Linked DNA regions of Ovis aries. The protein of the gene in region 1 binds, or shares a complex with, the protein of each later gene. Links are inferred from orthologs where the notes say so. Each region holds a gene or a part of one and is shown on either strand. Other genes may lie near its edges.

Region 1 (5,423 bases):
ATAATCCTTTCAGGAGAGAGGAATCAGTCTGGACAATAATCCCATCAGGTGTTAGGTGGAAAAGGAAGGCTAGAGTTCTCCCATCTCAACTTAAAAAGATCTTGTAAGGTATCCCAAACAACTCTGGCTTCATCTATAAATTTAAAACATCTTCCACCATTCATAAAATGTTATTTAAATTACTTACATTTTCACTCTTAAAAAAAAAACAAACCTATATATTTACCATCAGTAACTAAAACAAAACAAATGTTGTAAAGAAACAAATGAGATAGTACCCTTTAGTTTCTTTTTTTTAAAAAAAATTTTTCTGGCTGCACCTTGAGGCATGTAGGATCTCAGTCCCCTGACAAGGGATAGAACCCGTGCCCCTGGCACTGAAAGCAGAGTCTTAACCACTGGACTGCCAAGTGCCCCTTAATTTTAATTGCTAACATTCATAGGAAAAATAAGCTTCAAAATAATGAAAATAAAAATCCTTAAACACTTCAATCCTTACTATTTTTTCCTTCTCTAAGCTGGAAATTCCTCATCTCGATAGCCACGTATAAAGGTCATCCAATGTTCCAGTGTATCACTTTTTAGCTTCAGATGAGCCCAGTTTTCCTACCACTCAGGCAGAAAGTGAAAGTTGCTAGCACAGTGCCTCAGAAATTAAGAAGGACTGGTGGAACTCTTCTGCTGTAGTCCTGAATGGCTTCTGTCAAAATGGCCAAGTTCATGAAACCTGGGAGGTGGTGATGCCCCTGGCCAGTCATCATGAACACCTATGATCTTGCTACCTTGCTAGCAAGGTACAAAGTGAAAGCTACCATGGGCAAGAAGAAAACTGCCAGGAGGTCAGAGAGCAAGTCTTTTGTGAAAGTTTGTAACTTGAAGTATACCACTTCAAGCCCACAAGGTACTCTGTAGGTATCCCCTTGGAAAAAACTGTGGCCAAGGAGAATGTCTTCAGATACCCTGCTCTTAAATGTGCATCCCAACAAGAGGTCAAGGTCAAGTTTGAGGAAAGATACAAAACCAGCAAGAACAGATGGTTCTTCTAGAAGCTGTGGTTTTAGATCTGTTTTGTTTCAGTTATTAAAAATACCCAAAAATCTGAGGGGAAAAAAAAAAAAAGAACCGTGAAGAATTCTAAATACCTGTGTATTTCCTCCACTGACATACAGCACAGTTGGGTTGGTGGCTCCAGTGATGAGGCGGCCCATCTCAATGTGACCTATACAGTGGTTAACACCCAGCAATGGCTTATTCCATAACTGGGCCACAGTACGGGCCACAACAGCCACAGAAACCAGTGGGGCACCCATGCCAGGACCTATGGGGACAGAATAGGGCTTAGAATCCTATAGAGATTGGGAAAAACAGAGTTGAGGGAAGCGGGGGATGTGAAGGTACAGCGGATGTAGTGGTGGTTTCAAAGGTGAGGTGCAGACTATTTTGACCTAGCTGGGTTCCAGGTATATTCTTCCACTGCTGTGCACACTTCTAGCTATACCTTTGGTGTATGCGATGCAATCAATATCCTCAGAGGTTAATCCAGCCTCTGTTAGTGCCTCCTGCAGCAGGTCCAGGATAACAGCTCGGTGGTGCCTAGCAGTATCACCTGGAAGGAATCCTAGGAGACGGACACAAGTCAGAGATCCTAAGAATTTTCCTACAGAAAGGCACCTAGAAGTCAAAACAGACATTTCAGTAGGGTAGGAAGAGTCCCCTCCCTTTTCCTCAAACATCCTGTCTTCAGATATAGTCTTTTCAGCCTGTTCAGCTAAGCTAAACAGCTCTGAGCAATGCCCTTCTTCATAACTAACTCCTATTCAGGACTCAATGATACCTATCTCATACTTTTTGGTGATGCCCTGTGACTCTACAAACACTGTGCATGGTAACATCATTTATATTAACATACTATATGTAACATGTAACAATTACAGCATTATAGTTAATCGGTACTTTTCCCAGCTTAACCATGAGCATCTCAAAGCACTGCCTGTTTTATCTTCACATTCTTGGTGCCAATGAAGGCAATGGCACCCCACTGCAGTACTCTTGCCTGGAAAATCCTCCGGACGGAGGAGCCTGGTAGGCTGCAGTCCATGGGGTCACTAAGAGTCGGATACGACTGAGCGACTTCACTTTCGCTTTTCACTTTCATGCATTGGAGAAGGAAATGGCAACCCACTCCAGTGTTCTTGCCTGCAGAATCCCAGGGACGGGGGGGTGGGCTGCCGTCTATGGGGTCACGCAGAGTCGGACACGACTGAAGCGACTTTGCAGCTTGGTGCCAAATGCCGAGAAGCTTGAGTGCTAAACATATATATCCATTTCTAACGAGTAACCTGTTACAACATCACCTGTTCAGGGAGGCTTTTCAGGTATACACAAGCCTGCTGCCCTCTCCTATGGAAGGAGGTGTTTGGGGGAAAGGTAGCAAAGACAACAGAGCTTAGAAATAACATTTACGGAAAGTTGTCAGTGTATCCGATACTTTAACTCTCCAGACCAAATGACGCAGGTAATATCATTCCCATTTTAAGAACAAAGTACAGAAGTCCAAAAACAACTACCGAATATTCTAAGGGCAGCCGATAATTAGCACATAAAAGGTGGTCAGTATAGGCTGAACAACTCAGAAGATCCAGTTTCAAGTGCCTGTAACTCTTCTACCCATCAGCTTCGGGATAATGTGTGTGCGTGCTTAGTCTTGTCCAACTCATGGACTGTAATCCATTAGACTCCTCCGTCAATAGGATTCTCCAGGCAAGAATACTGGGGTGGGTTGCCATTCCGTTCCCCAGAGGATCTCGACCCACGGATCGAACTCAAGTCTCCTGTACTGCAGGCAGATTCTTTACCACTGAGCCAACTGGGAAGCCCTTTTACCGTTACATAATCTCAGAAACTAGGATCAAAAATTATGAGACACAATGCGCACTCTTCACCAACGTTTAGAAAGACGGCAGGGGATGCTGTGCGGAAAATTGCGCCACGAGTTACAAATCCGCAAATCCTCACCTGTGCCGGGAGGCGTGACGTAAGTCCGCCGCGGATTCGCCAGTACTTTGCCATCCCGTACCACTCCCACGCCAATCTTGTTGGCGCTGCCTTCCAAACCCAGCACCGCCGGCATGGCTCCGAGCTAGCACTGGAGCCAAGGAGCCCTCACCAGTCCGCGCTGGGACGCAGACTCCGGGTCGCAGAGTAGGAGGATGAGCCAGTGGCTGCTAAGCAGCCGCGCCAACCAGAACAACAACTACCAAAATATTCCCGTACGTAGCGCGCCAGCGCCGGTCCCAATCTCTGTCGTTACGACGACCCATCAAGACCCCTTCGAGGGCCTGTTCGCTTAACTGCCGGGAACGCTGAGCCGGCGTCTGCTCCTTAAATTCCTATCCGTTCCTCTGCTTCTCTCCGATAGTCCAGCCCAGCCTTTTCCACTGATTTTGTTCTCTCTTACACAGCTTTGGGATCTCTAGTCAGGGTGGCAGAAAGAGTTGTGAATCCGGCATATTGATAAACAGTCCAAGAATGGAGGGTGGGGCCTTCAGTGTCCCGGAGTCCAGAAGGGCGGGAAGCTTTTGAGTCACGTGGTACAACTAGACCAATGACCCGTATTCCTCCACCCCTGGATGAGCATCTCAAATCACGTGACCACGCCAGTTACCCACGTGGGGCACGGCGTGCTCCATTCTTTGTGCTGGGTTAAGGAGGAGGCAGACAGGGGCCGAAGCAGGTCAGCTGAAGGGTTTGTGTTGTTTTGCCCATCTTAGCAGCTTCTCTGGACGTCTGATTCGCAAGGCTAGGTCGGGACTCTCAATTAAGTCCCTCATTTGGCCGGAGGGCGGATCTCGCGAGAAGTGTATAAGACACGATGAAATGATCTAGTCTGAGGGGTGAGGGGCTGAAAGGCTGATGGTGCACGGAGGCGGGGAAAGAATTCAGAGATAATACAGTTTCAAAGGCGGTACTTGGTACGTGGGCGTTGAGGGTGGAGTCTTCTGCTCTAGCTGGTTTCACGACTTCTTTGCACTTGTAGGCAACGCGATCAAAATACTGCTTCAGTGGGCGAAGTGGAACTGGTGCAGAAGGGCCTACATTACAGTGATGCCGAAACGTGGGAAAAAGGGAGCGGTGGTCGAAGACGCGGAAGAGCCCAAGACTGGTAAGAGAATGAAATGGGCCCCTCTCCCCAGAGGCGGCGATGGGGATGTCTATAATTACCTAGTTGAACGGGAAGTACGGACCGTTGAACGGAAAGTCCAGACCGACACCGACAGTATTCTCATTTATGAAGAAGTCGCGGCAGCTGCAGGCTCTTAGTGGGTCTATAGTTTACTCTGGATCAAAGTTGGATACCGCCAACTTATATCCCATTATGTATTACTTATTTTATAGAGCCAGAGGCGAAGAAGAGTAAGGCAGGAGCGAAAAAGAACGAAAAAGAGGCAGTAGGAGAGGGCGCAGTTCTGTATGAAGACCCCCCAGATCAGAAAACCTCACCCAGTGGCAAATCAGCCACACTCAAGATCTGCTCGTGGAATGTGGATGGGCTTCGAGCCTGGATTAAGAAGAAAGGTTTAGATGTGAGTGGAATTAAGGGGGTGCAGAGGCTGATCTTAGGGTTTAATCATCTTTTTCCATCTTAGTCCCTAGCACGATAGTTTTCTTGTGGGAAAGGTACTAGGTTTTCACCCGAAAAACCTTGTTATTTTTCAAATGCCATTTCAACATTTCCAGTGCCATTTTCTTATTTATAATGTCCTCATCTCTTTCCTGGCATGTTGGGAAAACCTCCTTACTGGACTTGCTCCATTTTATTTCTTGCATAGCCAACATTTAAATAACTACCGCTTAAAAATCTTAGCTGGCTATCCAGGGCCTTTTGGGGAAAACAATTCCTCCGTGTTGCATGTCACACTGTTCTTGCCTTTCTGCCCTTAAGTTTTAATATTATGCTGCTAGATGTTATTTCTGCAGAGACTGTGTCTCATCTGTATATTTCTAGTACTTTGCATATAGATTTTTCAGTAAATGGCTGCTGAATTGATAATACTTTTTCTACATTTAATTTCCCTTACAGTGGATAAAGGAAGAAGCCCCAGACATCCTGTGCCTCCAAGAGACCAAATGTTCCGAGAACAAACTACCAGTTGAACTTCAAGAACTGTCTGGATTACCCCATCAGTACTGGTCAGCTCCTTCAGACAAGGAAGGGTACAGTGGTGTGGGCCTCCTCTCCCGCCAGTGCCCACTCAAAGTCTCCTATGGCATCGGTGAGACCCCACTGATTTTCTAAAAGCCCAGTGCTTCCAAACTAAATTGCTGGTATCCCAGTCCAGCCCCGATTCTTGATTCTTTTATTCTCTCCTTTCCCTTTTCTTAAAACTTCTTTTTGCTGATTGTTCCATCATTTCTGTAGGTGA
Region 2 (5,609 bases), on another chromosome or scaffold:
GTAAAGTCTGATGTTGTAAAGAACAATATTGCATAGAAACCAAGAATGTTTGGAAGGTAAACTGGACACAGTCAAGAAGGAAATGATAGGAGTGAACATCAACATCTTAGGAATCAGTGAACTAAGATGGACAGGAATGGGCGAATTTAATTCAGATAACCATTGTATCTACTACAGTGGTCAAGAATCCTTTGGAAAGAAATGAAGTAGCCCTCATGGTCAACAAAAGAGTCTGAAATACAGTACTTGGGTGCAATCTCAAAAACGAAAGAATGATCTCGGTTCGTTTCCAAGGCAAACCAGTCAACATCACGGTAATCCAAGTCGATGTCTCAACCACTGATGCTGAAGAAACTAAAGTTAACTGGTTGTATGAAGACCTACAACTTCTAGAACTAATACCAAAAATGATGTCCTTTTCATCATAGGGGACTGGAATGCAAAAGCAGGAAGTCAAGAGATACCTGGAGAAACAGGTAAGTTTGGCCTTGGAGTACAAAAATGAAGCAGGGCAAAGGTTAAGAGTATTGTCAAGAGAACACGCTGGTCGTAGCAAACGCCTTTTTCCAATGACCCAAGAGACGCCTCTACACATGGACATCACTATCTGGTCAATACTGAAATCAGACTGATTATGTTCTTTGCAACTTAAGATGGAGAAGTTCCACATAGTCATGATCTGGAGCTGACTGTGGCTCATATCATGAACTCCTTATTATAAAATTCATGTTTAAATGGAAGAAAGTAGGGGAAAATCACTAGGCCATTCAAGTATGACCTAAATAAAATCCCTTATGATTATACAGTGGAGGTGACAAATAGATTCAGGGAATTAGATTTGCAGACAGAGTGCCTGAAGAACTATGGATGGAGGTTTGTAACACTGTGCAGTAGGCAGTGACCAAAACCAATCCAAAGTAAAAGAAATGCAAGAAGGTAAATTGGTTGTCCAAGGAGGCTTTACAAAGAGCTGAGGAAAGAAGAGAGGTGAAAAGCAAGGGAGAAAGAGAAAGATATACCCTTCTGAATGCAGAGTTCCAAAGAATATTAAGGAGAGATAAGAAGGCCTTCTTAATGAACAATGCAAAGAAACAGAAAATAATAGAATGGGAAAGACAGATCTCTTCAAGAAAATTGGAGACACCAAGGGAACATTTCATGCAAAGACAGGCATGATAAAAGGACAGAAATGGTAAGGACCTAACAGAAGCAGAAGAAATTAAGAGGTGGCAAGACTACACAGAAGAACTATACAAGAAGTCTTAATGACACGGATAACCACAATGGTGTGGTCACTCACCTAGAGCTGGATATCCTGGAGTCTGAAGTCAAGTGGACCTTAGGACTATGAACAAACCTAATGGAGGTGATAGAACTCCAGCTGAGCTATTTAGAATCTTAAAAGATGATGCTGTTTGATATGTCAGCAAATTTGGAAAACTCAGCAGCGGCCAGAGGACTGGAAAAGGTCAGTTTTTATTCCAATCCCCAAACCGTATGCAGGTCAAGAAACAACAGTTAGAACCAGGCAGGAAACAACAAACTTGTTCAAAATTGGGAAAGGAGTACATCAAAGCTGTATATTGTCACTCTGCTTATTCCAAGCTGGATGAAGCACAAGCTGGAATCAAGAGTGCCAGGAGAAGTATCAAAAACATCAGATACACAGATAATACCACCTTAATGGCAGAAAGTGAAGAGCAACTAAAGAACCTCTTGATGAAGCTGAAAGAGGAGAGTGAAGAAGCTGGCTTAAAACTCAACATTCAAAGACAAAGAAGATGGCACCCGGTCCCATCACTTCATGACAAATAGAAGGGGAAAAAGTGGAAGCAGTGACAGATTTTATTTTCTTGGGCTCCAAAATCACTGCAGACAGTGACTGTAGCCACGAAATTAAAAGACACTTGATCCTTGGAAGGAAAGCTATGACAAACCTAGACAGTGTATTAAAAGCAGAGACATCACTCTGACGACAAAGGTCTGTATAGTCAAAGCTATGGTTTTTTCAGTAGTCATGTACAGATGTGAGAGTTGGTCCATAAAGAAGGCTGAGTGCTGAAGAATTGATGCTTTTGAACTGTGGTACTGGAGAAGACTCTTGAGGGTCCCTTGGAAGGCAAGGAGATGAAATGTTAATCCTAAAGGAAATCAACCCTGAATATTCATTGGGTGGACTGATGCTGAAGCTGAAGCTCCAATAATTTGGCCATCTGAGGCAAAGAGCTGACTCACTGGAAAAGACTGATGCTAGGAAAGATTGAGGGCAGATGGAGAAGGGGGAGACAAAGGATGAGATGGCTGGATGGCACTGCAGTTTAAATGTACCTGAATTTGAGCAAGCTCTGGGAGACAGAGAAGGACAGAGGAGCCTGGTGTGCTACAGTCCATGGAGTTGCAGAGTTGGACACAACTGAGCGACTGAACCTCAACAACAACAATAGGGGAAGTAAGCCCTGATTCCAATATTTAGTTCTTAGGTTCTTCAGCTCAGGGTATTCAAGACAAGACTTAAGAATACAGTTAAAATTTCCATTTCTGCTTTCAAACTGCACCTACCACACTGGGAAATGAAAGGAGTCCCTGACAGTGAAGCCTTGTTCATCTGAAATCTATTCCAATCTTCAGAACCTGTTTCTATTCTGTAATAGATGGCGGTCTTCCAAACATATTTGTAAGTTCACGCCTGGGAAAATTCCTTTCCATCCTTCTAAGCCCAGCTTAGAAGTCATGCTCTTTCTGAAGCCTTCTTGGGTTCTCTAGGTTTGCAATAGTTACAAAGAAGCCTAGGGTCATTCCTTCTACTCTTTAATAAGAATGTTTGTCTGTCTAACCTCCCACAGAGTTCCACAAGAACAGGAACTGAGTCGCATTCACGTCATTCTTTCTCCAGAGTTCAGCCCAGTGACTGGCACAGGGCCGTAGGCGTTCAGTACGTTTTTTGTGTGACATAAATGAAAAGAGAATCGTCAAAAGCAGTCCTGCTAAACGAGTCCAGGTACAGCCCAAATTTCTCCGGGCGCCCCTGCCCGCCCTCCTGTCACTCGCTGAACCGTCTCAAAGCTCACCGTCCAAGGCCTCGTCGGGAGCCGCCGTCCCCCGGTCCTGTGCTTCCGGCTGTACCTGAGAGCCGAAGAGCTCAGTCACCAGCTCCCTCATCTGAGCCACACCGGACAACAAGCTCTGGAAAGGGTCGGTGACGCCCGGCGCCTCACAAGGCACCCGCAGCTGCTGTCGCTGCCCTTCCAGTCCGACGTACTCGCCCAACAGCTCCATAGCGACCGCTACGCTTCAGGAGCGCGCCACAGTGAGTCGCCACCGGAAACGGAAACCAGCCCGCCGCGGGCGCAGGCGCGGAGAAGGGAGAGGCCTGACTTCCGTTTGTCGGAAGTCGCTCCTCCCCCTTCCTTCGCTCCCTGTCTTTGGGATTGGTGTCTGGCACCGAGGCCCCGCCTCCTCCGGCCCCGCCCCTCGCGGACGCTTTTCCCGCCTCCGCCGGGGCCGGTCGGCGGTCCTGGTGACAGTTGAGGATGGCTGGAGCTGAGGAGCCAGCTGGGCGACAGTCGGAGTTGGAGCCCGTGGTATCGTTGGTCGATGTACTGGAGGAGGACGAGGAGCTGGAGAATGAGGCTTGCGCCGTCCTGGGCGGCAGTGACTCGGAGAAGTGCTCCTACTCGCAGGTGGGCGCGCGGCTCGGCCCTCGCCTCCGCTGAACCTCCCTTTCCCCACCGCCTTACCCTCTCTCTTCCCGCCGGCCGCGGCCGGCCCCCTGTGGTGGTCCAGCGCAGCTGTTGGTCGTAGGCTTCCCCATCCCAGGCCCAGGTGCCCTTTTACACTTAGTCTTCTGAGCCCCTTCTAACCTGTGGCCAGCAGGACGCCCCTCCTTTCTCGATTTTCCTCTGTCAGGCCCCCGACGTTTCTACGGTTTTGGCCCCAGAGCAGCTGCTCTTTCCTTCCTTCCTCGTCTCTTCTCTGTGCCCCGGCCGCTTTTCACCAAACCAACCCCGTGACCTTTCACATCCTGAGTATCTTTGTCCATACTTTTCCCATCCTCAGAGTATTTGCTGGGTACTAAACGGAAGAGTCAAATAATTAAAGGAGAGAGCTCTGGGTTTGAAAATCTCTCCGCGTAGGCTGGACTCCTGGACAGCTGGTTCCTCTGCAGTTTAGTTTGACAGGTGCTAGCTGGTTTTTTTTTTTGGCGAGAGGAAGCAAGTACCACGTCTCTCTGCAGTCGGCCCTCCAGGGGCATAGACCGGAACCCGAACAGCTGGTGGCACTGGCAAAGGAAAGGAGGGGAGGAGAGATGGCATTCGGAAGATGGTGGGAACAAGGACTGGAGGGGGTGTGACGTAGTGTTTGGTGACTCATTCTATGTTTCTAGGTTCAAAAATGGAGAAAGGTGGTAGAAGAAAACTAATGAGAGATGGTACTTGATAGGAAGAAGGTTATCTTCCAGGCAGGTGGAGTGGAACATTGCAGGATGGGGAGAGAGACATGGGGTCTTTACGTGGTGTTGCTTGAGATCACAATACCAGTTGTTATCAATGACCAGTTGAGTTTACACTGCAAAGTGGTTAGATTTTTTTTTTTTTAATACACCTGGCTTCAGAGGTATTTAATGTTGGCTGATATTTTAAAACCTTTGGTCGCCACTGGAACAACTTTTTCTCTGTTTGCCTTTTTTAAAAAAGCCTGTAAGTTATTTTTGAAACGTAGTTAGATTTTTAAAACAGACTTCCTTAAAAAATTTTTTTGTATTGTTGTAAAATATGTGGAAAAGTGCAGAAACCATGTATAAGTCTTGGGAAAGCAAAACTGAAAACACCTGCAGGTACATACCACACAGATCAAGAAATAGAACATTACCAGCATCACAGAAGCTTTCCTGGGACTCCCTTCTTCTCAGAAGATGGCAGCCATTATCAGGATTTGCTTTTCTCTCGACTTTTTATTTTGAAATGTTTAAAGTCTACAGTTAAAATGAAAAAATAATATTATGAACACCTGTGTACCTTCACATATATTCACTTTTTAATATTTTACCACATTTGTTTTATCTTTTACTTCTTCACTGTAATATACTTTGTTTTTGTTTCCTGAACCAGTTGAAAATAAATTTCAGACCATGACACTTCAACTCTAAATATGTCAGCATACATCTTAAAATCAAAGGGATTCATTTAATGCACTGGTTTTCTCTTTGGTGGAATCACAAGCATTTTCCAAAATTAAAGTATGATTATTCCTTACATAAGCTTACACACATTCTCCTGTATTTTCATGTGTTAAAATAGTTAAGCAGACCGGTTTATTCACAGCTGACTAAAAATGTTAACTTCTATCACTTTGAGAAAAAGTTATATGAAACGTGTATGAAACCTGCAACAGTGTTTTGGTATTCTATTGTATATGCTTTTTTATTAGTCTCAGTGGCTTTTACAGGAAGATCTTGACCCCAGATCATCTGATTTCAGTTATTTCTCAGATCATAGTGTGGGCATTAGGTTGCTCTGCCAGTGTTTCATCAGTTTCCGGTCTTTTTCCATTTTGGGGCTGTCTTTAGGGTTCAGTAAAGAGACAAGCACTGTATGCCTGCAGTACCTGCA

The links. Proteins that work in one complex are often made in the same cells at the same time.
Region 2: OSGEP (region 1) and GON7 share a complex: the UniProt entries of both Homo sapiens proteins name them as parts of the EKC/KEOPS complex. The link is inferred for Ovis aries from reciprocal best matches to the Homo sapiens genes OSGEP and GON7.

What each region holds. Positions count from the first base shown.
Region 1 is NC_056060.1:24,948,890-24,954,312, reverse strand, and holds the start of OSGEP (tRNA N6-adenosine threonylcarbamoyltransferase), read right to left. Parts: upstream 3,306-5,423; 5' UTR 3,131-3,305; coding exon 3,016-3,130; intron 1,619-3,015; coding exon 1,499-1,618; intron 1,319-1,498; coding exon 1,143-1,318; intron 1-1,142. Other genes in the region: APEX1 (DNA-(apurinic or apyrimidinic site) endonuclease), read left to right, coding at 4,105-4,162, 4,396-4,583, 5,081-5,273, 5,420-5,423. UniProt on the Homo sapiens protein: Component of the EKC/KEOPS complex that is required for the formation of a threonylcarbamoyl group on adenosine at position 37 (t(6)A37) in tRNAs that read codons beginning with adenine.
Region 2 is NC_056071.1:55,648,409-55,654,017, forward strand, and holds the start of GON7 (EKC/KEOPS complex subunit GON7), read right to left. Parts: upstream 3,334-5,609; 5' UTR 3,277-3,333; coding exon 3,069-3,276; intron 1-3,068. Other genes in the region: putative E3 ubiquitin-protein ligase UBR7, read left to right, coding at 3,531-3,680, 5,567-5,609. UniProt on the Homo sapiens protein: Component of the EKC/KEOPS complex that is required for the formation of a threonylcarbamoyl group on adenosine at position 37 (t(6)A37) in tRNAs that read codons beginning with adenine.